Oryctolagus cuniculus: one gene and its partners. The protein of the gene in region 6 interacts with the protein of the main gene of each other region in a pairwise test. Links are inferred from orthologs where the notes say so. Each region holds a gene or a part of one and is shown on either strand. Other genes may lie near its edges.

What was found.
Region 1: the proteins of CREB3 (region 6) and MARCHF5 interact in a two-hybrid assay, tested with the Homo sapiens proteins (2 studies listed by BioGRID and IntAct). The two-hybrid records come from large-scale screens. The link is inferred for Oryctolagus cuniculus from reciprocal best matches to the Homo sapiens genes CREB3 and MARCHF5.
Region 2: the proteins of CREB3 (region 6) and TMEM140 interact in a two-hybrid assay, tested with the Homo sapiens proteins (2 studies listed by BioGRID and IntAct). The two-hybrid records come from large-scale screens. The link is inferred for Oryctolagus cuniculus from reciprocal best matches to the Homo sapiens genes CREB3 and TMEM140.
Region 3: the proteins of CREB3 (region 6) and APOA2 interact in a two-hybrid assay, tested with the Homo sapiens proteins (3 studies listed by BioGRID and IntAct). The link is inferred for Oryctolagus cuniculus from reciprocal best matches to the Homo sapiens genes CREB3 and APOA2.
Region 4: the proteins of CREB3 (region 6) and FA2H interact in a two-hybrid assay, tested with the Homo sapiens proteins (2 studies listed by BioGRID and IntAct). The two-hybrid records come from large-scale screens. The link is inferred for Oryctolagus cuniculus from reciprocal best matches to the Homo sapiens genes CREB3 and FA2H.
Region 5: the proteins of CREB3 (region 6) and DNAJC30 interact in a two-hybrid assay, tested with the Homo sapiens proteins (2 studies listed by BioGRID and IntAct). The two-hybrid records come from large-scale screens. The link is inferred for Oryctolagus cuniculus from reciprocal best matches to the Homo sapiens genes CREB3 and DNAJC30.
Region 7: the proteins of CREB3 (region 6) and VTI1B interact in a two-hybrid assay, tested with the Homo sapiens proteins (2 studies listed by BioGRID and IntAct). The two-hybrid records come from large-scale screens. The link is inferred for Oryctolagus cuniculus from reciprocal best matches to the Homo sapiens genes CREB3 and VTI1B.

What each region holds. Positions count from the first base shown.
Region 1 is NC_091446.1:38,188,327-38,192,413, forward strand, and holds the end of MARCHF5 (E3 ubiquitin-protein ligase MARCHF5), read right to left. Parts: intron 2,717-4,087; coding exon 2,533-2,716; intron 2,428-2,532; coding exon 2,261-2,427; intron 1,495-2,260; coding exon 1,378-1,494; 3' UTR 501-1,377; downstream 1-500. UniProt on the Homo sapiens protein: Mitochondrial E3 ubiquitin-protein ligase that plays a crucial role in the control of mitochondrial morphology by acting as a positive regulator of mitochondrial fission and as an important regulator of immune response.
Region 2 is NC_091434.1:170,989,123-170,992,502, reverse strand, and holds TMEM140 (transmembrane protein 140), read right to left. Parts: upstream 1,961-3,380; coding exon 1,403-1,960; 3' UTR 1,096-1,402; coding exon of another isoform or gene 823-1,095; 3' UTR 501-822; downstream 1-500. Other genes in the region: CYREN (cell cycle regulator of non-homologous end joining), read left to right, coding at 823-1,095.
Region 3 is NC_091438.1:37,576,186-37,579,419, forward strand, and holds APOA2 (apolipoprotein A-II), read left to right. Parts: upstream 1-1,215; 5' UTR 1,216-1,535; intron 1,536-1,703; 5' UTR 1,704-1,726; coding exon 1,727-1,778; intron 1,779-2,036; coding exon 2,037-2,169; intron 2,170-2,501; coding exon 2,502-2,619; 3' UTR 2,620-2,734; downstream 2,735-3,234. UniProt on the Homo sapiens protein: May stabilize HDL (high density lipoprotein) structure by its association with lipids, and affect the HDL metabolism.
Region 4 is NC_091449.1:57,270,406-57,273,595, forward strand, and holds part of FA2H (fatty acid 2-hydroxylase), read right to left. Parts: coding exon 3,150-3,190; intron 1,430-3,149; coding exon 1,177-1,429; exon of another isoform or gene 1,030-1,176; intron 1-1,029. UniProt on the Homo sapiens protein: Catalyzes the hydroxylation of free fatty acids at the C-2 position to produce 2-hydroxy fatty acids, which are building blocks of sphingolipids and glycosphingolipids common in neural tissue and epidermis.
Region 5 is NC_091450.1:50,406,568-50,410,699, reverse strand, and holds the start of DNAJC30 (dnaJ homolog subfamily C member 30, mitochondrial), read right to left. Parts: upstream 2,801-4,132; 5' UTR 2,756-2,800; coding exon 2,072-2,755; 3' UTR 1-2,071. Other genes in the region: BUD23 (18S rRNA (guanine-N(7))-methyltransferase), read left to right, coding at 2,963-3,010, 3,106-3,143. UniProt on the Homo sapiens protein: Mitochondrial protein enriched in neurons that acts as a regulator of mitochondrial respiration. Associates with the ATP synthase complex and facilitates ATP synthesis.
Region 6 is NC_091432.1:198,639,858-198,643,871, reverse strand, and holds the start of CREB3 (cyclic AMP-responsive element-binding protein 3), read right to left. Parts: upstream 2,801-4,014; coding exon 2,363-2,800; exon of another isoform or gene 2,359-2,362; intron 2,262-2,358; coding exon 2,124-2,261; intron 2,027-2,123; coding exon 1,879-2,026; intron 1,803-1,878; coding exon 1,735-1,802; intron 1,616-1,734; coding exon 1,526-1,615; intron 1-1,525. UniProt on the Homo sapiens protein: Endoplasmic reticulum (ER)-bound sequence-specific transcription factor that directly binds DNA and activates transcription. Plays a role in the unfolded protein response (UPR), promoting cell survival versus ER stress-induced apoptotic cell death.
Region 7 is NC_091451.1:13,562,419-13,566,561, forward strand, and holds the start of VTI1B (vesicle transport through interaction with t-SNAREs homolog 1B), read right to left. Parts: upstream 2,801-4,143; 5' UTR 2,653-2,800; coding exon 2,538-2,652; intron 1-2,537. UniProt on the Homo sapiens protein: V-SNARE that mediates vesicle transport pathways through interactions with t-SNAREs on the target membrane. These interactions are proposed to mediate aspects of the specificity of vesicle trafficking and to promote fusion of the lipid bilayers.

The DNA of each region.
Region 1 (4,087 bases), on a different chromosome or scaffold from region 6:
GGCGTGGCCATTGGAGGGTGAACCAACGGCAAAGGAAGACCTTTCTGTCTCTCTCACTGTCCACTCTGCCTGTCAAAAAAAAAAAAAAAAAACCTGCAAGACCATTCAGATCACTGAACATAAAATGGCCACTCTACTGAAAATGGCTTCAGTAACTGCTTTTGAAAAAATGAATAAACTAATTAAACAATGATTATTTACTGGTGCTAGTCTCATCAATACAGGCAATTAAAAATCTAAGACACACGAGTAATAATTTTTTATAATAAACTGATTTATTCAGTATTTACCTAAGACTCATTTGCATAATTATCTCCTCAGACTGATTTAAAAGCAAAGAGCTCAGTGCTTCACCTTGCTTTACTCAATGCTAAAATGTGGTAACTCTACATGTAAGAGCAGGACCAGATCTATCTTGTTCACCACTGTGCCCCACAGTACTGTGCACAGTGCCCAGGCAAATAGGAGGTGATCAACAAATGTCTGAAGAACCAAATCAGTGAAAGAGGAGAGTAAAATAACTTTATTGATTCCTTTTTTGCAAATCGTTCTTCTGCGCAAACTATAAACTGGCAGCTCTAATTTCTAGAAATAGTGATTTAAAAACCTTACCCGAGGTGGAAGGACATGATTGCTTGCTCTCTCTCGTTCTCTCTCACACCCACACACATACAGTAATCAAGACTACATGAGTCCAAGTTACATTATGAGCTATGAGATAACAATGTTACATAAATAAAATTTAATAGTGAAAAAGGGATCTGGAAGCCCTGGAAATTTTTACCCTACACATTTTGGAGTACATCACATGGGTTAAAGAAAACACAAGAAACTCCCACTTGTTCAGATAATTATTTGAATGTTTACATACATTTTTGGCTTGTTATTTATAACTAAATTTACATTTCCTCATATTAACATATGCTCCTGTTTAGCATGTATTCAAATTATGCCAGTGAGAAAAATCCTCATAGTACCTTCACTGAGTTGCTGATTCTAAGAAAACACTGAACGTGAACATGTACAAAAGAGGCATTTGAATAAAACAGCATGTGCATTTTTTAATATTTGTACAGTTTGATCTTTACATTTCTGTCTGGAGCAAATCTGAAGAAAACCCAGGTTTACCATGCTCAGAAAATGGTTCAGGTGACTGCCATAAAAGCAGCACATACAAAGCAAAGCAAACAAGTCACATCCTTAGATTCTGCAATTACTGAGAGGATTTTCCCTGCCCTAAGTGCTTTATTATATTTCTGAAAAATAGAGGAGCAACAGCTTATCACAAGCCTCCACTAGTGCATGAATGATGGAATCAAAACAACACAACAGACTCATAAGGATGAGAAGACTGCAGAACAACTAGGAGTCACAGTTTTATGCTTCTTCTTGCTCTGGATAATTTAGAATTTTGCGGTGTGCCTGACGTAAATATTGCTGCTGTTTGAAGTAAACCTTAAATGCTCCTTTTATGGCAACAAAAGCAATTCCACCCTAGAAAAAGGAAAATTAGCTTATTAGAATGTATGTTTAGAGAAACATAATGAAGAATTTTACTCAAATCACAAAAGACATAGGCACTGATGCCAAACTAATGCAGCTGACTGCAAAGGCAAGAGTTTTGCTTTTCCATCAAGGGGTGGAATGGGAGAGAGAGAGAAACCACTATACGTAACAGAGAAAGAAGGCTTCCTTGGGATCCTGCATGGCCTGCCTTCACTGAGTTCTCTATCCACTCTGCTACACAAAGGGGAACACCAGGGCCCTGTGTGCGGAAGCCAGGACAGGGGAGGGGGCAGCAGGAATGACGACCGCAAACAACACGGAGTACTTACTGGTCTCATTTAATCCTCATAATTAGCCTGAGGTAGTTACCCCCACCATCCCCATTCTCTAGGCACAGAGAAGTCCAGAAGTTGGACTTAGGTTTCACAGCAAGGCGATTTCTGAGTTAGGATTTGATGCAAGCAGTCTGACCCTACAGTAGACATGCTTCGTCATAAACTAGTTGGCAAGAGGGATGAGTGATGATTCAGGCATACTCCAGGAGAGAAACTGCCCATGGCATCAGTCTGGAAGGTCAGAACTGGCACAGTGGTTCCTCCTCTTTTTATTTCCTCTAAAGCTACTGGATGACAGTGAGGGTTATAAGGCAAAGGAGCCACAGATCAACTACTTATACAGTCCTCTCCCCTTTAAAACAAATGGTTTATTCTCTTTTGTCTTTCACCTAAAATAAGTAGTATTAAAGCCATCTTACCAAGATTGTCCTTTGCAAATTAGAGTTAACACTACTGAACATCAGTTTACCAACTATTGTAGCAATAGTAGGAAAGACAAGGGCTCCACACAAAATTCGGGTAGCAGAGACATGATCTGCTAAAGGATTAGCCTCAGCTGGAATTCGAGGAACAGGACACCCAATCCCTAGAAGAAGAAGAAAAATATCCTTAGAAATTTCTAAAGCCATGTTATGGTTCTGCCACAAGATCAATTTGACATGTATTTTAGAAACACAATTCAGGGCCTTACCTGGAAATATACTGTTCAAAATCTGTAGTTTATTTGAGTATTTACGCCATAGCCTAAGCACGTAGTCCTCCCAGCGAATCATCTTGCCTAATATCAGCATGACAGGAATAGTAGGAAGTCCGATCAAAAGGAATAAAGGATCAGCTCTCTCCATAACATCCAGACCTTCTTTATGGCCTACAACCTATGAAACAGAGCAATGCTAGAATCACTTTCCTAACCTAATAAAATTGTGCATATCTGAGCTCAATTCATTTTTACAGAAGATGCTTAATGTCAAAAGAATACAGAAATTAAAAGTTTAAAATGTCACTTATTCAAGGAAAAAAGTCTTCTAGCTATTTCATGTTACACTGGATTAAAAGTTTTTAAATGGCTGAGGCACGCTGCATACACTAATGGAAAGGAAAAGGGGACCCTTTGGTTCTTCTTATTTGATTTGCTTAGACTAAGCTGCAGAACCAAGATAAAATTCAACTTCTCTTTGTCTTCCAGAAGAGTATCTGTATACCTGCTCTTTGTTTAGGAGGCAAGCACAGCCAGCCAAGGGGCAGGAGTGGTCTTCAAGACATGGCCTGACAGATCACTGATCTTTGGCTTTCTCCTTCTTTGGTGGTATATGGGATAGGGCATTATGATTCTGGCTGGCCAAGTATGTGCCTCAAGACCTCTCTCCTAAGGTACATTTTCAAGGTCTAGATTTGAGGGACCATAGTAAGAAGTCCAGTTTTGCCCACAGATCCCAGGTATTTTTTCTTTTTTTTTTTTTTTTTTTTTTGACAGGCAGAGTGGACAGTAAGAGAGAGAGACAGAGAGAAAGGTCTTCCTTTTGCCGTTGGTTCACCCTCCAAAGGCTGCTGCAGCCGGCGCATCATGCTGATCCGAAGCCAGGAGCCAGGTACTTATCCTGGTCTCCCATGGGGTGCAGGGCCCAAGCACTGGGGCCATCCTCCACTGCACTCCCTGGCCACAGCAGAGAGCTGGCCTGGAAGAGGGGCAACTGGGACAGAATCCGGCGCCCCGACCGGGACTAGAACCCAGTGTGCTGGTGCCGCAGGTGGAGGATTAGCCTAGTGAGCCGCAGCGCCGGCCCCAGGTATTCTTTTTCTAGTGGAACTGTAGGGCCCCCTATCTAGTCGGTAATGAAGCTAATACAATCCTTTCCCACTCATATATGGGTCTTGGGGTTATCTCTTAATGGTTTAGATCCTGGAGGGCAAGAATGACAAAACTGGCACTTGTGAATTTCCACACTTTCTCTCTTCCAAAATCCTTTTCATTTCCTGATTGATTTGGGGCTTACATCTTTCATTATCTCCATTTTTTTGGTGACTTTCTCATTTCTAGGTAAATTCTCTGAAAATTCTTTCCAAGATCCTGCATGACGTTTCCCTGTAGTCAGAAGTCTCAACTGCTCGCAAATTAAGCATGTTTCTTAGAGGGGCTGTTCTCGCAACTTAAGACAGGGGAAAGAGACTGAGTCTTGGGTTTGAGCTCACCCAGGTTTCAAACAATGTGGTGGAAGTTAGTATGAGGATACCTATTATATCCACAG
Region 2 (3,380 bases), on a different chromosome or scaffold from region 6:
GCGGCCTCAGGCTGGGTCCCGAGTCCCGGCCAAGCCCGGATGTTAGGGAGAGGAGATGCACACGCCGCGCCCGCCCTCTCTCTACTCTGTAGGACGGCAAACAGGAAAAGGCTGGGGAGCTGCCGTCCCTGCTGGGCGCCGATAAGCCGGAGGGCTCCCCCTCCCCGTCTCCTCACACGAGCTCAGGGAGCAGCAGCGAGGAAGAGGAGGGAGAGGACGACGCCCCCGTGCCAGGCCTCAGCCCTCCCAACACCGCTGGCGGCAGGAGGCCGGAGGAGGAAGAGAAGGAGGAAGAGGAAGACGTGCTAAAATACGTCAGGGAGATATTTTTCAGCTGAGGTTCTCAGCGCTGCCCTGGCCCCCTGCCTCCGCGGCTCTGGGCCTCCTTGGTCCTGCCAGACCCGCCCCAGGCCAGAAGCCCTGTTTTAAGGGTTGGGGGGACTGGGGAGTCGAACCCCATTGTTCCCTGCACAACAGCTCTCCCTGTTCTGGAATTCCAATTGTTTTCCAATTGTTTTATTCAGTTACCAGCTTTCCTGGGAAAATGAGGCCCCGGGGTGGGGGGGGCAACCTGAGGGTTTAAGAGAGTGGTGCTGCCACTCCGTGCACAGGGACTGGTGGAACGGAGCCTGTGTCAGGTGGCTTCCAGCACGCGGTGAGCAGGCCCCAAGCTCTCCTGCAGCCGGCGGCCCACTGGCACACCAGCCCGGCCGGGAGGGCAAGACCCCGCCACGGAGGAGATGTCCTCGCACCACAGTCCTTCCTGCTACCTCTGTGTTCAGCGAGGCTTTGACCCAGACTGAACATAGCCGTGCCTTACAGGTGTCCCGATACACAGATGCTGGAAAACACAGAACTCCTCCGGGCGTGACGCGTGCTGCCGGAGCCGCCGTGTCTGTCGGGGGTAGAACCGTTCCGACCTGTTGGCCTCTTCTTACCAAGCGTTTGTCTCCTGGATCCCGCCCCGGGAGCGACTGGCCAGCCGCCTCCTGCTCCAGGCTACCCAGGGGCCTTCGAGGGCAACCCCGGGCCTTCTCTTCATGTACCCTGTGCAGTCGTTCCCGGGCGACTCGGCACAGCCCTGGGAACTGGTGACCCCGCAGGGAGCCGACGTCCTCGTCCCAACCTCCACTGAGATCCGTCAGGAACTGCGGCCCTGGGCCAGGAATCCCTCCAGTTAGAACTAAACCGGGCAAGGAAAGCGGGGACCCGCGTGACAGCGAGGCGGTGGTTCCGGATGTCCACGGCAGCCATTGCGGTCCTAAAGGAGACATCGCCCTATGCTAAGAAGCTGCGGGGGCGCCCCCTGCTCGCCAGTGGGCTCCTTAGCTCCCGTGGGAGCTGGGCATTGGCTCTGAAGAGATGGCCCCGAGCCTCTCCGGGACCGAACCCTTGCACTGCGCTAACAGCAGCTCTCCGGCTTGCTCCCGTCCTGAGCCCTCGGAGAGAACACAGCGGTGGCCATGAGCAAGAGCAGGAGGAAGGCCTGGGCCGTGCCCAGAGCTAGAAAGGCCGGGCCCAGCAGAGAGAGCCTGAGCCACTTCCACACGAGGGAGAGGAAGAGGCCCAGGCCGCCGGCCAGCAGCACGGAGGCCGCGGCCAGGAAGCCCACCGCCAGCCGCCACTCCCCCTCGCTCCTATTACACCAGGCCAGGAGCAGAGGCAGGGGGACGAAGAGGGTGAGGACCAGGGCCCCGTAGACACCGAGCCTGGCCAGAGCCAGGCCCAGCCGCGGCACCCCGAGGGCCTCCAGCTCGGGGAACTGGTGACAGAGCAGGGCGCCGAGGTCCTCGTCCCACAGGCAGAAGTTGTAGAAGCCAAGTCTCAAGTGCGGCAGGTCCACGACGTTGCCGGCTCTGCAGAGGAGGGCGTCAAACAGCAGGGAGATGACCCCAGCCACCAGCAGGAGGATGCTCAGGAACGCCACGTGCCTGCCCCAGCGGGGCCCGGGCCCGGCCATCGCGCCTGCTCCGCACGGCGGGACCTGCGGGGAAGGCACACCGGTGAGTCCCAGCCCCGCATAAAATCCTGCAGCATCGTCCCCCGCAGCCCCCTGGGGAGCTGTGCAAACCTGCTGTTGGGCCAGGGCCTGGCCTGCCACGGGAGCTCTGGGGCTCATTCCGAGGGGAGACTGAGCTGAGCAGCAGCGCCAGGACCCCCGGCCTGCAGAACTCATTTTTTGCGAATTGACAAAACTGCATTTTAAAAGTTGTCCTAAATGAACACATTAAAGATTTTTTTTTATGTGAAAGATAGACTTAGATCTCCCCTCTGCTGGTTCAGTTCCCCAGATGGCTGCAGCGGCTGGGGCTGGGTTAGGCTAAAGCCTTGAGCCGTCACCTGCTGCTCACAGGTGTGCGTCAGCAGGAAGCTGGAATCGGAAGTGGAGCCAGGACTTGAACCTGTGTACTCAGAGGAGGTCCCCAGTGGCATTTGAATCACTGCGCCCAACACCCACCCCAGAAAATGATTTTAGAAGAAAAATTATGGCGTACTGTGGCGTACTGGGTTAGGCTGCTGCCTGCAGTGCCAACATCCCCCATCGGCCTGGTTCACAGCCTGGCTGCTCCACTTCCGATCCAGCTCCCTGCTAATGGTCTGAGAAACCAGGGCCCCCAGCCATTGTGGTGTGAACCAGTGGATGGAAGACCTCTCTCTAGCTCTTTCACATAAATCTTGAAATATAATTTGTTGTCTCACCACTGTTACTGTTACTGCTTTACCAATATTGTTTTGTATGTGCCAGTATAAATTTTTTTCTACTGAGTATTGTAAATGTTTTTCAAAGCTGTTACATATTAAAAAGGACGAATGGCAACATATGTACAACATAGAATGATGCACTGAACTGTGATCGGGTCGTTTCCACTCTATTCTAAGAGACAGTGAAATTGAGTGTCCGAGCGCTGGTTGCAGTCTGATTGTCCCTCAGGCTGGGTACCCAGAACTGCAGTTACAGTGCCAGGTGCCGCACACCACCACACCAACCTCTGGAAGGCTCGTCGTCCTTCTATCACATCCTAGTGTCTCCTTAAGTATACTCATTTACATCATCTTTTCACTACTTTTAAACTCAAATTGACCTCAAACAGCAGTCTGCACACCATGCATTCTTTCTGGTTTGGACTAACACAGCCGTTTACGTCCAGACGTGACGAGGAACACAGTGCTGCAAGCTTTGCAAGACTCAAGGTATCAGGCTGGGATACCACGGGGCAGCCTGTAAGCCTCAGCCTGCAGTGCCCAGTGGGGTCCTGCAGGCACGTGGTGGCCAGTGGTGGCCCTGGGGAGGAGCCCAGCACCTATAACCCTGATAACTTCTGCCTGGAGGATCTGGCTGATTCTTCACACCAGGCCTGTTCTGCAAGGTACCACGTGGA
Region 3 (3,234 bases), on a different chromosome or scaffold from region 6:
AATAGAAGGCCTTAGCCCGCCAGGCCTCTCTCTCCAAGGTCGCCAAAAGCGTTTGCGTGTATGGGACGCTAGGGGGAGCATCTTGGAGTTTGGACCGCTGAAGCTAACTTCCACCCTGAAACTACAGTGAAACTACAAGCTGGGAGCCCTGTGAATCCTGGGTGGTATCGCTTCCCCAGTTCCCGGAAGGGCCCCTAGAAACTTCTCCGCACAAGATGAGCGCTACTGAAGCACCGCTGTCCCTCGGACGCGGATCCACACCTCCCCTCCAAAGTTGGCCCTCTTGGTGGAGTGTGAGTTTGCGGTAGAGAAGCAGAGTGGTGGCAAACCTATTCCTCCACACGGTTCTGGCAGAGCTATTCCGGCAACAGCTGCCCTCTAATTTTAACCCTTCCCGCATTGAGTCTGCAGGAAGGGGCCTCCAGCCCCCAAGTGCGCTCCACCCCAGGGTTAGGCAAGCCAGTGAAGTGACTTGCAAGCACCATGCACTCCACAGAGCAATGACAGGAGATGGAGTAAGGGCTCTGGTTGCTGCCCCCCCAGCTCCCACACCGCCACCACCGTCTCTCAGGAATGTGCCAGGCGCAAAGGAAATACATTTCGAGGGCAAAAAGGTGAAGACACAAATGCTGCCCATACCGATTCAGTTGATTTCACCCAAATGCTTTGAGCCTCTGGATGAACCTCTGCCCTCCCTCAAATCAGGGCTGGGATAAGGGCCAGGGTCTTGGGAAGGGGGTGGGGGGAGGTGCTGTTGCCCCTGCTTACTCAATATTGACTGACCACAACCTAGCACCGATAAGGTGATCAAATGACCAGGCACCTTCAACCTTTATCCAGGTGGAAACTTTTTACTCACCTCTCTTCCTGCCAGAGCCCTCCAGGTGGTGGGGGAGGGCAGGCACGCACAGGCTATTTTCTGAATTTGCTTTGTTGGGGGTCGGGTATACACATTGATCAGGGCTCTTGTTACACCCCCACCCCCACCCTGTCCCCTTTTACACATTAACTCGGAAAGGGACACAGTCAGTCACAGCTGCCCTCTGCCTCATCCCCCTTTCCCTCAACCCCCATTCCCTACTCCCCTGACCCCGACTGTAACTCCTTTCTTCAGTCCCCAGTTCCCCACTGCCAAGTGGAGGTAAAGGGGAGTGGGGCTTGGCAGAGCAAATCAGCCCAGCATGGACTAAAGTTGCCCAGGGCTGAAGGCTCAGAGTCCAAAGAATGAGGAATCCCGCCTGCTGCTATTAGCAAATCCAAAGACTGCCCAGCTAGCGCCAGTCTCCAAAAGACTGAATCTCAGACAGTAAGGCCTGCACTTCCTGCCTCTCAGCCCATTGCCATGCGGCCCGCGTTCCAGTCTCCTTTCCTCCTCCATTTCTTCAACTTGTTTACTCCAACATGGGCCCTAACCCGCTGGGCCCCTGTGCAGTCTCTGTCACCTGACAGGGTGGGGACACTGCCAGGTATATAGCCCTTGCCCCTCCAGCCAGGCCAGGCACTGACGCCAAGGACGGAGACGTTGACTAAGTAAGGTAAGGGAACGAGAGGTGCAGGCAGCATCCACGGAGCACTGGGCTTTAATTGTGGAAAGGGAGGGAACCAGGGCGGGGCAGGGGGAGGCACTTAGGTAGGGAGATCCTGGGGAAGGGGCTGAGAGCGTGTGGCTTCAGTGTTCCTTCCCTTCTCGGCACTGTCCCCAGACCATCTTGGCACTGTCACCACCATGAAGTTGCTCGCAATGACGGTGCTGCTCCTCACCATCTGCAGCCTTGAAGGTGGGTGTATTGCGGGGAGGGGGCGCCGGCGGGGAGACGGTACCGGGAGTCCTAGCTGCCAAGCTGCCCAGGTCTGGTAACCTGAAGGCTCAGAAGGAAGAGTACTCCCTCTCTGAAGCCCACAAAACCCCTCCAAGGAGCTGGCTGGAAGCCTACTTGGGGAGGGCGCTGAGAGCTGGGGTTGGTAGCAGGAGGCCGCAATTCACTGCCATGGACCCAGCTAAGAGAGTCTATGTGTGTGTGTGTGTGCTTGCACAGGGGCTTTGGTTCGAAGGCAGGCAGAGGAGCAGAGCCTGCAGAGCCTGGTCTCTCAGTACTTGCAGACTGTAACCAACTACAGCAAGGACCTGATGGAAAAGGCCAAGGCCCCCGAGCTTCAGGCCCAGGCCAAGTAAGTCTCTGGGAAAGGGGTTGCGGGGCTGTGCACCGGAGGATGGAAAAAAGGGAAGATGGGAGGTTCCCACAGAGACTGAGCTGAGGGACGCAGGTTAGGGAGAATGAAGCTTAAATTGCAGAGTCGAATTTCTGCATCACTCAAAAGATGCCACATGGCTCCTGGACAGGTAGGGGCAGTGGGAACAGCGCCTGGAAGTTTCATCCCTAGGGTCTATTCCTCTGCCCAGTGGAGGGGCTTTGCCGTCCAGGATGGACCAAGCACTAGGATTTGGGATTAGGGGTTCATCTGCTCTGACTTCCCACCAACAAAATCCCTTCCCTACCCAGGGCCTACTTTGAAAAGACACAGGAGCAGCTGACGCCCTTGGTCAAGAAGGCTGGAACTGATCTATTTAACTTCTTGAGCAATTTCATGGATCTCAAAACACAGCCCGCTGCCCCGTGAGGGGGTCTACACCATTGTCTTCCAACTCCAGCTGGCCTCTTGAGCACCCCTGGGCCAGGCCTGCAGCCCCTCCTTGCCTATCCCTGTTTTCTACAATAAATGGTGGAGGAGTCAACCTGTGAGCATGGTGTGTTTAGCGGACTGTGAGAAGTGGGTAGTGGGGGAGGAGTAAGAGAAAGGAAGAAGAAATCTTCTTGAAAGGACGGAGGACTGGTGCAGAGGTGTGGAGAAAGCACTGGAGAGACAAACAGGGTGAGGGGGCCTGTGATTCTTCTTGGGACCCAAGGAGTCTCCTCCAGGCCTGGGAATGGCTCTGCAGTGGAGTGCTAAAGAACCTTTGCACTGGACATGGAACTATGGAAGGAATGCAGGATTCCTAAGCTGAATCCCTAGAGTTCTAGAGGTCACAAGAAATGAGGGCACTGCAGAATGTCCTCTCCATCATTCTGTGAAGAGCAGAAAGTTTCCAAAAAGTGAACCCAGAGCTATCACCCAAGACCCTCCCCTTCGGAACCAGAAATGCTGTGTTTCCCCCATCCCACAGTAAAGGAGAAGACCTGGGCTCACTCCCCTCCCCCAGGGTGCTCCAGCTCCTCCATTCAAAACCTTTCCTCT
Region 4 (3,190 bases), on a different chromosome or scaffold from region 6:
TGGCCTCTGTGGCCATTTGGGGAGTGAACCAGCAGATGGAAAATCTCTTTCTCTGTCTGTAACTCTGCCTCTCAAATAAATAAATACATTTTTTTAAGTCCCATGTTCTATAGCAGTGTGTGGTTTTCATTCCAGGCTCCTGTTCCAGCTCCCTGTTAGTGCAGACCCTGGGAGGCAGAAGTCATGGCTCAAATAATTGAGTCCCTGGTGCCCACATGGGAAGTCTGGCTTCTAGCTTTGGCTCTGGCCCAGCCCCATCTATTGTGGGCATTTGAGGAATGGATTAGCAGAAGGGAGCTCTCTGCCCCATAAATTAAAAAAATGATTTTCAGTTCTATCTTTTTACTATAAAGTTATTTATTTATTTGAGAGGAAGAGAGAGAGACAGACACAGAGAGATAGTCTATTTACCAATTCATTCCCCAAATGATTGCAACAGTTGGGGCTGGGTCAGAGCCTAGGTCAGAAGCTGGGAACTCAATCCAGGTCTCCCACATGGGTGGCAGGAACCCAATTACTTGAACCATCACTGCTGCCTGCTAGGAGCTGCATTAACACAAATGTGGAGTCAGAGCTGGAGTTGCGTGTTAAACCCAGGTACTCTCAGGTGGGATGTGGGCATCCTAACCAGTGGCTTAACTGCAAAGCCAAATGCCTGTTTGTTTTTTACTTTTAATGTGGCCACTAGAAAGTTTAAAATCATCTATGCGGCCTGCATAGTACAGCTATCACCTGTCACTTGGTGGGGATGTGTTTTGAGAAATGTCTTGCTGGGCAGTTCCATCATGGTGAGAACATCGGTGTACTTACACAAACTAAGGCAGCTGTAATGAGATGAAGTGCTATAGTCCTACACGACCACTGCTGTATCCAGGGTCCACGGCTGACCACCACAATCTTGTTGTGTGGTGCATGACTGCATTTTAATGGGCAGTGCTGGGCCCCCTCCCCCCACCCAGGGTTACTCAAGTATCACCTTGCTTTATTTTCCTTTAATGGCATTTCTGTTCCTTGTCTGTCTCTGCACAGCCACCTGCACCCGTGAGCAGGATGGAGGAAGCTCTGTGTGTGCCCCAGCACCGAAGACAACGCCTGGCCCTTCGCAGGGATTCAACAGCTGTTGTCCAGTCGATCCCGGGCCAACAGGGGAGGCGGGGAGGCTCCAGCCTGTCTCACCTGACTTCTGATGTGCAAAGTGGTGCTTGACGTGGTGCGCCTTCATGCTGTACAGGTAGGAGCCCTTGTTCGGCGAGCCAAAGTGCAGGTAGTAATGGGTCATGTCGTAGAGGACATAGCCCAGGAGGCCCCCAGCGAACATCGTGCCCCCCACCGCCTCGGGCAGGATGAGCCGCAACAACACGTAGAAAAAGGCGATCACCAGAGAGGCCGGCACGGGGGGAAAGACCAGGCGGGAGCCGTCGAAGGGTGCCTGTGGATGGAGAGGCCCGAGTGTCAGAGGTGGCGCTGGCTCGGGGTCGCAGCGTGCCTCACTGGAGACGCTCCCCAAGATGAGCGTGGAGCAGCCCGAATGTTTCCAGTGAGGGGACAGGGACCTGTCTTGGGTGGGCCTGGCGTGTTTGGTGGCTTTGGGAAGGGCAGGCCACCCAAGTCCAAAGCCCTGGAGAGATTGCCCGATCCAGGAACACAGGGCCAGGTGTGACGTGGGAGGGAGCGGATGCAGGTGTGCTGATGGCTCAGGGCCCACCTGGAACTCAAGGGACCACGTGGGCCCTGGTGCCAGACAGGAAGGCTCAAGGGGCTTTCTGGAGACAGGGGGCCTAGCCTGAGGCCTGCGATCTGGGAGGGTGTTCCCGGAAGTGTTGTGCAGAGATGTGGTTTGCACCGCCACCTCCCCACACAAGGCCCTCTGTGCAGGGACAAAGCAGGTGTTGCCAACAGAGATCCGCAGGTGTGGGCCTCCCTTCCTCAAACCATGGCAACAGGGCCAGTGCTGTGCAGGGAAGCAGTGCTCAGACAAAGGCAGGCAGGCTGGGGGCAGAAGGGATAAAAAGCAGGAGGGAGGATGAGGGCGCCCAGGTCAGCAGCGTTTGCCGATTCCTGCAGTGTAAACACTCCTGACGTGGCCAGGGTCAAATTAGGCATGAGCCCAGGCCACAGACCCCTAGACACAAAGGCTTGGGTATCTGAGGAGGTGGCGGTGGGCCACACAAGCTCCTCCTGTCCTTGTGCTGTGCCATGACGGGACTGCGTGTACTGAGGTGGAAATGTCTTGGAAGAGAGAGCCCGAGACAGTCCCTCCAGCCCCCAGAGGGTCCGTTTGTCCCCTGAAGATGGGAAAGTTGACCAATAGGGAGCGATAGATCTGAGATGTCGTGAGGGGGGTGAGGGACAGGGCCTGGACAGCAGAGGCCCGATGGGCTGGCGTCAGCCTAGAAAGAGGACACTGGCCGTGGCACCTCTTAGAGCCAGGCTGGCCCAGGACTGGATGTTCACCCAGATACAGGCTGCCACGTGAGACTCCCAGAACACAGCTCAGCACTGGGAAGAACAGGAGGGCAGCCCACCCCAGCAGAGAAGAGAAAGTGGGGGAAGGCCCTGCCTTGGAGGAGATGGCGGCGAAGGGGCCCCTGGGCCAGGCCGAGGACAGCACTGTGCAGGCACAGCAAAGCTGCCAGGGGGAGGTAGCTCCCTGGGGCCGACCTGGCTTCCAGTCCCACCTCTGGGCTGATACTCCCAGGGCCAGCGGGTGCTGGTGAGAGCAGCCACATGGTGGGGGACAGCGTGCTGGTTGTGCCTGCCTGACCCTGGGTGAGTCCCTTAGTACATTAATTCCCCCTGGCCTACTTCCTGCTCTGTGGAATTGGGGAAAACTGCAGGTGCTTCGCCTGCTTGGGTCACTGATGCTTGGCACATGGTAGGCATTCAGCCTCAGAACACTTGCAGAATGAATGAGTGAATGAGCTGTGCAGATTCACGAGGCTCATGGAGGGTGACGCAGAGGCACACGTGCACACATATGTACACACACGCACAGCATTTACATGCATGCTTATGCACACATGTGCACACACATACTCACTCACTCACTGTCCCGTCTTGCTCAGATTAGGATGCCTGGGCCCGTCTCCCCCCTGTGCAGCCTCCGATGCCTCGGGTTTGCCGATGTCCCACCCCACGGCCACACCCACCTTGTGGTGCTGGCCGTGCAGCACGAAGTGCAGCGTGATGA
Region 5 (4,132 bases), on a different chromosome or scaffold from region 6:
CCTTGGCTGACACTGGGACGGCTGCAGGGGCCAAAGGTGCACCCAGGGCACGAGGTGCCAGACGCCGGAGGAAGCGAGCAGGAACACATTCTCCCAGCTGGTTCCGGGGCTCCTGCGCAGGTCCCTCTCGCCCTAGTCTCCCAATCCAGATCCAAATTCTTGGGAAGTTTTGCTTTTTATTTGTGACCAGAAGAAAAAAGGAGCACGGCTAGGCCTCCGTGTCTGCCATCGGGAATCCGGGAATCAACCCTAGAAGGCAGAGGCTGATGCCCAACGGCCTAGTGCAGCCACCCCTGGACAGGGCAGGTGGAAGCAGACCAAAATCCCGGGGGCCCTGCGAGGGGCATGGGGCAGAAATGTCAGCCAGGGGAGCAGCCGGGGTGGGGGTGTGCTTCATAAAGAGCCCACCCTCCCCGCCCGAGGCAGGCAGAGCGTGGGGCTGTTTCTGCACGGGGAGGAGCCTTCCAGGCTACCCTGCCTGGAGCTGCAGGCGGGCTAGGGAGGTTCCCTAAGCTTAGTGTGATCCCAGACCTGTAACTTTTTAGGTCCCAGGACAGAACTTCCAGAGCTGTGGGCTTCACGGAGCATAAACAAACTTGGGAGGTCTACGCCAAGGGGCCCATGTACCTCCACGAACCCACAAAGAACCAAAGCCCTGAGGCTCGAGTAGTCCCCCCCCCTTGGTCAGCCATCCACGGCTCCTGCCAGGTTTGTCTGCAGGGCTCCGTTCTCCCATCCCCCTCGGCCTGTTTTTCAACAAATGGCCCCTCTTGCTTTCCAAATATGAAACATACCAACAGTCGACATTCTTTCCAAAAGTACACACCCCCACCCCCGACATCAAGGCTCACGGAGCCAGGACAGTAAACCAGGGTGGGCCCATTCTGTGGCCGCCCCACAGGGATGTCGGAGCCCAGCCCCCACCTGGACTATGTGTGGGTTTATCCCGAGGATCAGACACCATGGGTACAGGAATTGCTAATACACCCAGGCACCTCCGATTCTGTTCAGACCTTGGACTCGGGCCCTCCCTCTTGCTCTGGACCCCTGGCAAGAGTCCTGCTCTGCTCCAGCCTTCCACTGGGCCCCAGTGCAGCCCCCTGAGCACCTGCAACCCCATGGCCAGCCCCACTGCCCCAGGCCCAGGAGCCTCCCAGCTGCAGCTCTGGGCCCCTGCCTCGGCCTGTCTCTCTGGGCCCGGCCACCCTGCTCAGCAGCCCGGCCCACTTCAGTTCCCTCCGCTCCAGCACCCTTGCTTCCAGGACTTGGGGGAGGGCTGTGATGAGCACTGCGAGCTACACAGGGGCAGGGGCCACCCTCGGGGAACTCTTAGCTGAATGTGACCCTTGTCTGGGAGGGGAGGATGGCCTGGGAACAGGATGACCAGCTGACAGGCACACTGTCCCGAGGATGACCTTGGCCCTACCAGCATCACCATAGAATTACCGGCCATAAACGGGACAGACTTCAAAACAGCAAGTCACTCACTCCTCTGCGGTCACGGCCCTGAGCAGCTCCTCCAAGTTAAATGGACACAGACAGGAACACTGGTGCTTCCGCTCTGGGATCTGGGTGTCCCACCCTCCGAGGGGGAAGTGGCCTGGGGGCTGCCCGAACTCCCACCTGCGGCTTGGGGAACTCACAGAGAGAGACAGGTTCTCGGACGACCCCAGAATTTTTTTTGGCAGCCAGTGCTTGGGCGTATTGCACTTTTCAAGGTTACAGAGAAGCCCCCACGCGGCTCGGTGGGGGGCAGATAAGTCCTGCTTGGGGCCTCACAATAAAGCCAGAGCAAGTGGTCCAGTCGCTGACAACATCCGAGGGAAGCAGGCACTCAAGGGACCCGGGGAAACCCTGCACTCCGGACTTCCGAGAATCTCCATCTTGGGGGGAGGGGGCTCTTTCTTGGACCCTCGGGGAGGGACGTAGCTGGGCGGGTGGGGAGGGCAGAGGGAGTTCAGCTCCTGGGACCCCAAGCCGAGGTAGACTAGGGAAGGTCAAAAGTTCCGAGGGCCAGCAGGGCCGCTGTCCCGGGACCGGCTGAGCCGCGGCTCCTCCCGCCTCTCTCCGCTCAGATCCGAAAGCCGACGATGATGAAGACTAAAAGGAAGAGGAAAATGAAGGTCGTGTCCCGGACCTCATCCCACTTGAAGCCCTTGGTGGCGCGATCCTCCTGCTGTTTGCGAAGGGCCTCCCGCCGGGCCCGCAAGCGCCGTTCGCGCTCCAGCTGCTCCCCGTAGTGTGCCCGGTAGAAGGCGTCGAAGTCGAACATGGTGCGCTCGGCACCCCCAGGGGCTGCCCGACCCCCGTGCGGGGCCCGAGAGGCGGCCGGCGGGGGCCGGGGCGGGCTGGGGTCGGCCGCGGGCGTCCTGGAGGGCCGGGCGCCGGGGCCGCGCAGGTCCTCGTCGCTCAGCAGCCCGCGGTCGTATTTGCGACGGAGTGTGGTACTGCCCAGCACCAAGTAGGCCTGGGAGATGCGCGTGAAGCGCTCGGCAGCCTCGGCGCTGCCGGAGTTGCGGTCGGGGTGGTAGAGGAAGCTCTGCCGGTAGTAGGCCGCCTTGATCTGAGCCTGCGTGGCCGTGGGGGGGACGCCGAGCAGCTCGTAGAGCGCAGTGCGCGAGTACGGGCCGTCGCCCCGAGAATAGGTTCTTGCTCGCAGGCCCACACTCGACGCCGAACTGGGAGCGAATTCCCAGGTCCGCCACAGTCGCCAGAGTAGCAGCCGCGACCACCGCGGACTGTGCGCGGCTGCCATCTTGAACGGAGCCGGCGACCGCTGGGAGACGGACCGGCCAATGGGAAGCGCAAGGAATTGGCAGGCGTGGGCCCCGTAGCCAATCACTTGAATAGGGAGGCGGGGAAAGGGGGTGGAACATGTGCGTCACGAGCCGGTCGCGGGACTGATGACGTAAGAGCCGGCGCCCGGAGTCGCCAGTAGCCGGCGTGTTCCAGAGACGCGAGGATGGCGTCTCGCGGCGGCAGACCGGAGCATTGCGGCCCCGCCGAGCTGGTAAGGCCTGTGGCCCGCGGGCGCTCCTCTCGGCTTTTCGAGGACCCCCCGCGTGTGCCTTCCTGCCTCGACTTGCCTTTTTCTCTTTCTCGCAGTTTTACGACGAGAATGAAGCCCGGAAATACGTTCGCAAGTGAGAGGAGCCGTCGGGGGTCGGGAAGCTGCAAGTCGCCCCCTCTGCGGGGCATTGCTTAGCGGGCGGGGGGCGGGAGTCTGGTTCGTGAGCTGACGCTCTTTCTGCCCCCAAGGAAAGCCGGCCTCGGGATCTTACCTGAGCATTGGAAGTGGGCGTGGTCGCGCCTGTTCCCCCAGGTGGCGTTCAAAGTTTGGGGGTGGGCCCAGCTTGTGTTGTGCATGCGGGGGTCAGGACTACTCGGGGGGTGGGTGGGGGGACTACTGGGGGGGGTGGGAAATAATATCCCGGCGTGCTTTGGTGTGTCCCTCTGCGTTCTAAGTAAATCTTAGCGAGAGTTGTTGGTTGTCGCTGTGATTGAATTCCCTAAGAGGAGGTGTATTGTATAATCCCGGAGTTCCTTGGCAGGTCCGGGCTAGAGCAGCGGACTTCCAGACCTGCCTTCTCTGGTGCGCTGCTCTGTAGAAAATTCTGCTAGTACTCTTCTGTCCAAGTGAGAGGCCAAGACGGAGCGGCGGCAGCTCCCCCTGGTCCAGTTGTCCCCGGATGGGAGGTGGAGACGGGATTCCGGGGGCGGCAGCTCGCCCTGGTCCAGTTGTCCCCGGATGGGAGGTGGAGACGGGATTCCAGGGGCGGCAGCTTGCCCTGGTCCAGTTGTCCCCGGATGGGAGATGGAGACGGGATTCCAGGGGCGGCAGCTCGCCCTGGTCCAGTTGTCCCCGGATGGGAGATGGAGCCTGGATGGGAGGTGGAGACGGGATTCCAGGGGCGGCAGCTTGCCCTGGTCCAGTTTTCCCCGGATGGGAGATGGAGACAGGATTCCAGCTGCAGAGCTTATGTTAGGTGTTAACGGAAATGATTTTGTGCGATCCGGGTTCATGTGCACAGACAGACCTCCTTTGTGTAGTGTGGCTTACTCTAAATGACCGCTTAGGAAGAAATGGAAGGATCTTGTCTATTATTATTATTATTTAATTGGTAGTATTTCC
Region 6 (4,014 bases):
TCCCTTGTCTAGCCTCCCTAACCAGTAGCCATTTTGGTTTCCATCAGAATGCCTCTAAAGACCAGGTGTTAAGATCACAGGTGCCAGAGCATTTTTAACAATTTCATTCACTGAAAAATTTCTTACCCTGAATTAACATCTGCCTCCATGTAATTTCTATCCATTGAACTTATCTCTGGGGTCGTGTAGAACAAAATTCTACATAGCTGTTTTAAGGCTGTTGGCATTTCCTCAGAGTTTAAAAAAACACACACACAAAAAAACCCTGGACAGACTTCTTAACCCAACATTTCACCATCACTGCATCCTCTTGGTATCTGTCAAAGATACAGGCCCAAAACTGGGCACTTAAAATGCACTGTGATTTGTACAAAAGACAGCAAGACAGTCTTGCCTTTTTAGAGACAATGCATGTATTGACGCTGCTTCCACATCCCACTTGCTTTGCCATATCTCACTGCTGACTCATCTTGTACTTTTAAGAAGTTAAAATTTCTTTAATAAGTACTTATTTTATTACAGGGTCACAATACTGTGCTTGTGAAGTCACCACCCAGTGTTGAAACTTAAAACTTATGCTTCTACATTTGTACTGTTAGAAGGCTTAGTCCAGGCCGGCGCCGTGGCTCACTAGGCTAATCCTCCACCTTGCGGCGCCGGCACGCCGGGTTCTAGTCCCAGTCGGGGCGCCGGATTCTGTCCCGGTTGCCCCTCTTCCAGGCCAGCTCTCTGCTATGGCCTGCAGCTCTCTGCAGTGGAGGCTGGCCCAAGTGCTTGGGCCCTGCACCCCATGGGAGACCAGGAGAAGCACCTGGCTCCTGGCTTCAGATCAGCGCAGTGCACCAGCCCCAGCAGCCATTGGAGGGTGAACCAACAGCAAAAGGAAGACCTTTCTCTCTGTCTCTCTCTTTCACTGTCCATTCTGCCTGTCAAAAAAAAAAAAAAAAAAAAAAAGAAGGCTTAATCCAGCCTCATTGAACTCCCTAAAACAATTCTCCCATTCAGCGCGATGTAGATTACCACCAAGCCGATGAACTCCAAGTGGCAGAGCCCTTCCCTTGCACAGTCCTGCCCAAGGCCCTACGCTAATGTTGCATTGATAATTCTGAAATCTTTTTTCTTAGAACACCAAAATGTGTTAGAAGCCTCACAAAACCAGGATCCACCCTTGCATCTAGCATATTAACCAACAACTCTGCTAAGATGTTCACCTCTTAAGTGTATCTTATTTTTGACACTGATATTACACACATCTATAGGATACAGAGTGACATTTAAGTAATGTATACAATGTAAAAATAAGTAGGGCAGGGTAACTGGCACATGTATCACTGCAGACATTTATCATTTCTTTGAATCAGAAACTGAATATCCTCTCTGCTAGCTATTTTGAAATGCAGCTGCTACCAAGCATAACGTTAGAAGTGACTCCTATCTGACTGCATTCCGGTACAGGTCGACCAGCCTCTCTGCACTCTCCCTCCCCTACACCCTCCAGCCTTTGCCCCACCAATGGGAGCCTTACCTTGGTGAGAGGAAGCGTTCCAGGCAGAGTAAGCCCCTCCTTCTCCAGTAGCCTCTTCTCCTCCTCGGTCAGTACCAGCCTAGCAACCTCCTGAGGTTACGGGGAAGTAGGCAGCAGTTGCATGGGGATGTCCGAAAGAAATGGGAATTCCCGCCCCGCCCCGCCCCGTGCAATGTGGGGATAAGCCTCCTGAAAATCAAGTCAGCTACCTGCTCTGTTGGCTCCTCCACATACAGCGGAGTCATCGGAGCCTCCTCCTTCCCATAGCTCCCACTATCTGCAAAAGGGCAATTGTGACTAGCCGGGCCCACGGACCCTCTCCTCTAGCTCCCAACTTTTCTGATGTCACTCACCTACGTCCACGGAGACATGCTCCTGTGGGAGGGAGTAAGTGTGATCGTGGTGCACAGGCGAGGGCTCGCAGGAGCTGAGGTCGGCCAACGACGCCGGGGGACTCAGCAGGGTGCTCAGCAGATCCTCTGCCTCCCAGTCGCTCAGTACCTGCACCGGGTTCAAATTCCCAGGCCCTGGCCTGTCACTGACACCCGGGTCTCGCGGACGTGCCGCGCCTCCCTGACGCGGAGCCCTACCCACCCACCTCGGAAAGCGGCAGCTCCCAATCCGGGGGCGCCTCCACCGACTCATCGGCTGCCTCCCCCCATGCTCCGCTCTGCTCGAGCAGGAAGCCGAGCAGGTCCTGATCGCCAGGGTCCAACGCCAGCTCCATCTGCGACATCTACGGCAGAAACTCAAGGGTTCACTTCGCAGCCCGGTTCCAATACGCGAGCCCCAGGCACGACCCCCAGCCCAACCGCCGGGTCTCTCCCGCCTACCCACCGCTCCTCTTCGGCTGGCCTTCCCCGCTGCCGGGGCGGCAGTCGCTGTCAAGCCCGACCCACCCACCCGCCGGACTCCGTCGCCCTCGGCCTCCAACACAGCACAAGTGACGCACGCGGCCCCGCGGCCTCTCGGGACTTGTAGTTCCCTCCGAGCCGGAAGTGGCTCGGGTGCTGCGCCACGTCCCGGGGGCGATGCAAATGAGGGGGACGTCCCCGCCCCGGGGGCGGGGACACCGGCGACTCGCCTCCGCCTTCGCCCCGAGCTAGAAAAAAGGAAGAGTCCGAGTGTAACAGGGAACTCGGGCGCCGCTGGGGTGTTTTCTCCGGATTGCGCCGCGCCCTGGCTTCCTGCCGGGGAGGGGCTGCCAGTCTTCGGCGGGCTCGCGAGCATCGAGAGCTGGGGCCAGAGCAGCTTCCTGCAGGTCCCCAAAACCATAGAGCGCGGGCCCAGGGCGCCGCCCGGGGGTGGGGGACGCGCCGGGGACGGAAGTGGCCGAGTGTGGCGAAGGGAGGGCGAGGCCGGAGCCGGAGAGCGGGCCCGGAGGACGAGCAGGGCCGGCGGGCGGGGCGCAGAGCCGGGCAGCGCAGGTAGGCCGCGGCGGGCCGGGCCGGAACCTCGGGGTGGGGCCGCGAGGTCTGGCCCGGGAGGCGGGCGGGCGCGGCCCCTGACTGCGGCGCGTCTATGGCGGGTTCTGGGGGAGACGTCAGCTTCCAGGGTGTCTCGGCAGGCCGATCTGCGGGAGGTGGCTCCTCTGCGGGAGCAGTCCTTGGCCTGGAATAGGTTTTGGGGAAGGGTGAGGAGTGTGGCGGCCGCGGGGCGCAGGGCGGGGATGGGCTTTGGTGTTTGCTGATAGCGGGGATGTTGGGCTGGAGAGCTGTGGATGAGTCTGGGTTTAGGTGGGGTTGGGTTTGGGAATCAAGGGTCTCTTTAGGAGGTGTAAGGCCGGGGTTAACGCTTGAGTTATTGGCGTGATTTAGATCCGTTTTATAAATAAGTGAGGTTGAGGTTGAGGTCGTTATTTTGTTTCCTGGGATGACCAGAGGTAAGTCAGAGTTAAAAGAGTTCAGGGTCAGGTTAATGGTCAACAACAGGAATTAGGTTAGAAGTCCATTTTAAGGATCATAGGATATTGTCGTGGTCAGTTTTAAGGATAAACAGTGAAAAGGTGAGTTAGGAATCAAGTTACAGGTGAGCTAATTTAGACTTAGGGGTCAACATTTTGGGTTAAAGTCAGCAGATTTGGTGCTAACGGTAAAAATTAGTTGAGCCTTAGGGATCAAGGATTGGATGCTTGCTGGTCTCTGCTAGGAGGGGGATTCTATGAGAATGAGGAAACAAATTAGGGCACTAAGGGCAGACCCAGGCCAGGAATATTGACCTTGGGCAGATAACATTTAAGAGGTCGGCAATAGATCGATGCCTTTGGTGTGTGTGTGTGTGTGTGTGTGTGAGAGAAAGAGAGAGTGGGGGGGAGGGAAGTCCCCTCATTTTTATTTAGTCACAGGAGCTTCTTTCAGCCAGAGAGATGACACATTTTGGGTTGGGGTTCTGGACTTCAGGTAGAATTTCCTCGATTCCTCTCTAAGCTCAATGCTGTTGCTGTGGCCACCACAGTTACGGGGCAGGGATTGCTGGACTGTGTTCTGTAT
Region 7 (4,143 bases), on a different chromosome or scaffold from region 6:
TCTTCGCAGCAATTATATAATCAATCGTTCAACAGCTATTTATGGAGCATCCAGGAGGCACCAGACACTCTAAGTGCTTAGGATACATAACACACGAACACAGCACTGACTTCAATAGTGACTCAGAGCTCACCCAGCGGGCCTGCTCCACCGTGCTCATCACAACAGACAAAGTAACGACTCAGCCAAGGTGTCCACCATGGGAGGAATGGATGAAGAGAATGTGGAATGTATATACACTGAAGTGTTACTTTTAAAAAAGAATGAAATCTTGTCATTTGTAGCAAAATGGTTGGAATCGGAGGACATCATGTTGTGTGAAGTAAGGCCAGACACAGACAGACACATACTGCATTGTTCTCCCTTGTATGTGGGAGCTAAAATTTAAAAAACCAACAAAACCAAACCAAACCTCTCAATCTGAACACTGAATGTTGATTACTAGAGGCTGGGCGTGCTGGAAGGGATAAAAAGAGTTTGGGTTTAAAAACAAGGGAAACTGGGTGTGAGCTCTTTAATTCTGACAAATATAGTAATAAGACATGTTCATAGGGAAATGGAAATGCAGTGAGAATATGGTAACTACTTGGGGGGTACAACACAATTTTTCTTTTGTAAATTTAAAAAATATCCCCAGGTGGGTGGTTAAACCAAACTGCTTGTTAAAACAGTTTCTGGGGGCCAGCGCTGTGGTACAGTGGGGTAATGCCCCGGCCTGAAGCATCAGCATCCCATATGGGCACCGGTTCCAGACCTGGCTGCTCTACTTCCAATCCAGCTCTCTGCTATGGCCTGGGAAAGCAGAAGATGGCCCAAGTCCTTGGGCCCCTGTACCCACATGGGAGACCCGGAAGAAACTCCTGGCTCCTGGCTTCGGATCAGCGCAGCTCCGTCGTGGCCAGTGGGGAGTGAACCATTGGATGGAAGACATCTCTCTCTCTCTCTCTCTCTCTCTCTGCCTCTCCTCTCTGTGTAACTTTTTCAAATAAATAAATATTAAAAAACAAACAAACAAACAAAAAACAGTTTCTGGGGACCAGCACTGTGAAGTAAGCCACCACCTGCCACGCATCCCAGATGAGCATGGGTTTGAGTCCCGGCTGCTCCACTTCTGATTCAGCTCCCTGCTGTGGCCTGGGAAAGCAGTAGAAGATGGCCCAAGTCCTTGGGCCCCCGCACCCACATGAGAGACCCGGAGACTCCTGGCTTTGGATCAGCTCAGCTCTGGCTGTTGCGGCCATTGGGGAGTGAACCAGCGGATGGAAGACTTTTCTCTGTCTCTCTCTCTAACTCTGCCTTTCAAATAAATTAAAAAAAAAAAAAAAAAAAAAAAAAAAAAACTACTCTGGGGAAAGAAGACAAACAACTGTAACTATCACAAATATGCGGAGTGTCTAGTACGCTGTTAGAGACTAAGCGATCTGGGGGAAACGCAGAGCAAGCTAAGAGAGGTAGTATACAGAGCTGGTAGTCTCGCCCGAAACACTCAGTTCCCCACATATTAATGACAAGAAATTGCCTACTATCGTCAGGGGCGTTATCCTGATTCACGCATTTATTCCTCACAAAAACCCTAGAAGCAGACAGTTCAGTTTATTCCCATTTTGCAGGGGACACTAGTTTGGTTAAAGAAACGTGTCCGCGGTCACACTGCTGAAGTGGATCTGAACCCCGGCCCTAGGATTCCTGCTTCACCGCTGCCTCCCAGTTCCCCGGTCTGTTCTTCCCCGCGGCAGACCACGTATTTCGTCAGGCTACAACGGACGCGACCCCGTGATGTCCGCTCCACAGGCGCCCCCGCCGCCCTCACACACACACCCGGGCAAGTGGGCTTCCGCTGCCTGCAGGTGAGCGCGCCGGCCCCTGCGCGGCTGCTCCTCGCTCCCCACAGCCGCTCCGGCCGGTCAGCTCCTGCCTCCGAGCCAGCTCTTGGATGCAGAACTCCCCAGAAACCCACGCACCCGGACGCCCGCCACTAGGGCTCTCAGCCCGGGCCCCTCACTCTTGTGCGGCTCCTCTATCCAGCCACCAGCACCCTCTCTCGAAAGTAAAATCCGCATTAACCAGCCGCCCGAAACGCTTCGCCCGACTCGCCACCTCAAGTCCAAGTGTCTGGCGTGGACAATCAGACCCCTCCACGTCCTGGCTGACGCGCTCTCCCCCACGTACCCCCGACTCCACAGCTGAGAGCGTGAGATTCCGCGCTCCCTCGCAGCTTCTTCCCCCTTTTTCCCCTTCTCTTTGCAAACGCCCGTTCCACCCCCTCTACTGCCAGACTGATAGAAACGACGGGCCTCCCCCAAGAATAAGGCCTTTAAATGCGTAAAACAATACACAGGGAGCTACGAAAGAAGCCCATTCCCCAGAACACAGGATCACAGATTTAAAGACCTCTCCTCCCCACCCAAAATGCGAATTTTAAGAAGCCACGGGGGGGGGGGGGGGTCCCCGGGAGGCGTGTCTGATGAGGGGCGGCGAGACTGGCGCCCGGCCGCACGGGGTTGCACTGCCCACGGTCTGTCCCGCCCCTGCCTCACCGGTCCCTGCCGTCCCCAGCAGCCGCCCGGGCACCCCTAAGAGGTCTTCATGGAGGCCCCGGAAGATCTCGTGCAACTTTTCGAAATGCTCCGAGGAGGCGGCGGAGGTAGCCATCACGAAGGCCGAGCTACGGCCGCGGCCGCCGAGGTTCTGGGCTCTGAGTTTGCTCCCGGCCCGGCGGTCAGCCGCCCAGCCCCACGGCCATCACGGCGACCGCCGCGCCCCCGCCGCCGCGGACGAGGCGCTTCCGGGGCCGCGGCGGGGTCCTCCCGCGCCGGAACGTCCACGCCCTCCAGCCTAACGCTATGGGAGCGCCGTGCGCGAAAGCCTGATGGAAAGTCGGAAGGGTTTCGCTGCCGAGCGGGTCCTGAGGGACAGCGGCACCGCACGTTAGAGCGATATTCCCGGAGCGCTTAGAATATCCGGTTCGCTGTTGGGGGAAGTTGTCACAGCGGAAGGGCCCGACGGGCCCGCGGGTCGGGCAGCTCGGCCGCCTCCTTGACGGCCCTGCCCGTGAGGGCGGCGCCGCAGCGCATGCCGGGAGTTGTAGTTCGGCGCAGTGGACGCGCAGGCTCGGGCGTCACGTGTTGCTTCAGCTGGCGTCTCCTCCTGCCCAGTTGCGCAGCGGTTTGGTATCTATTGGATATGGGGTCTGCACGTTGCTGTGCTACCCCGGCTTCCACAATTAGTGTCCTCATCAGGTGTTAGCTTTCAGCCTGGGAAAGACAGCGGGGCCGGGGTCCTGCCTGCCCTCGGACTGGGATGTCAGGTGGCTAGGGTCATGAAACCCCGGGCAGTGGACCCCAAAGTGTGCGTTCTTGGTCTCTAGGCTGGGCTCGCCTAGTTCATTGGGCACATGAACTAGGGGCCACCGATGGCGGGGCTTCCTCAGCTGGTCCACCACTAGGTGGACAAAGCCCTCTCCTGCACTGCATGCGCACAGGTGCCCCTTGGCGCTGATTTCACGCTTCGCTCTCGCTTGCCTGGGAGCCCAGTTTAAACGCACGCACATTTTAATGCCCGCGAATGCTGAGAGGATAATGTTGGTGACTTGTGTCTCCCGGGCCCTTATTTCTAGTAGATTTGAGGCTTGATTTTAACAGTGCTGAGCTCTCAGTGCGTGGAGGTGACACCCAGCACGGAGATGACAAGAGCTGAGGGTGGCGGTGGCAGCGCACTGTGCTACAGCGCAGAGATCAACAGCATGCCGCGGTCAGAACACGAGGACAAAGTGACCTCCAGCTGTGTCGGCAAAGCAGGCAATGGGCGCGAGGCGTCAAGTCAGCACACAATCCAGGTTACTGTCATCTGCAGATTGTAGCATTACAGCTCAACTCCGGGCTAAACGGCCCTTAACGTGAGAAATAACTGCCAAGCTGTAACGACGAAGTGTTGTCTTCTTTCGACTATAAGTGAGCTTGTGCTTAATTCTTACGGTTTTTATTCTCATAAGTAAAAACATGACAAACAACTGAAAAAGATTTTTATTTGTTATTGCATGTTCAATATAAATTAAGTAAAATATTAATTCATCTGTTCTACCGTATTATCAAAAGTTTGCCAATTTTCCTATAAAATGACCATTTCTAAATATTTACAAGTTTA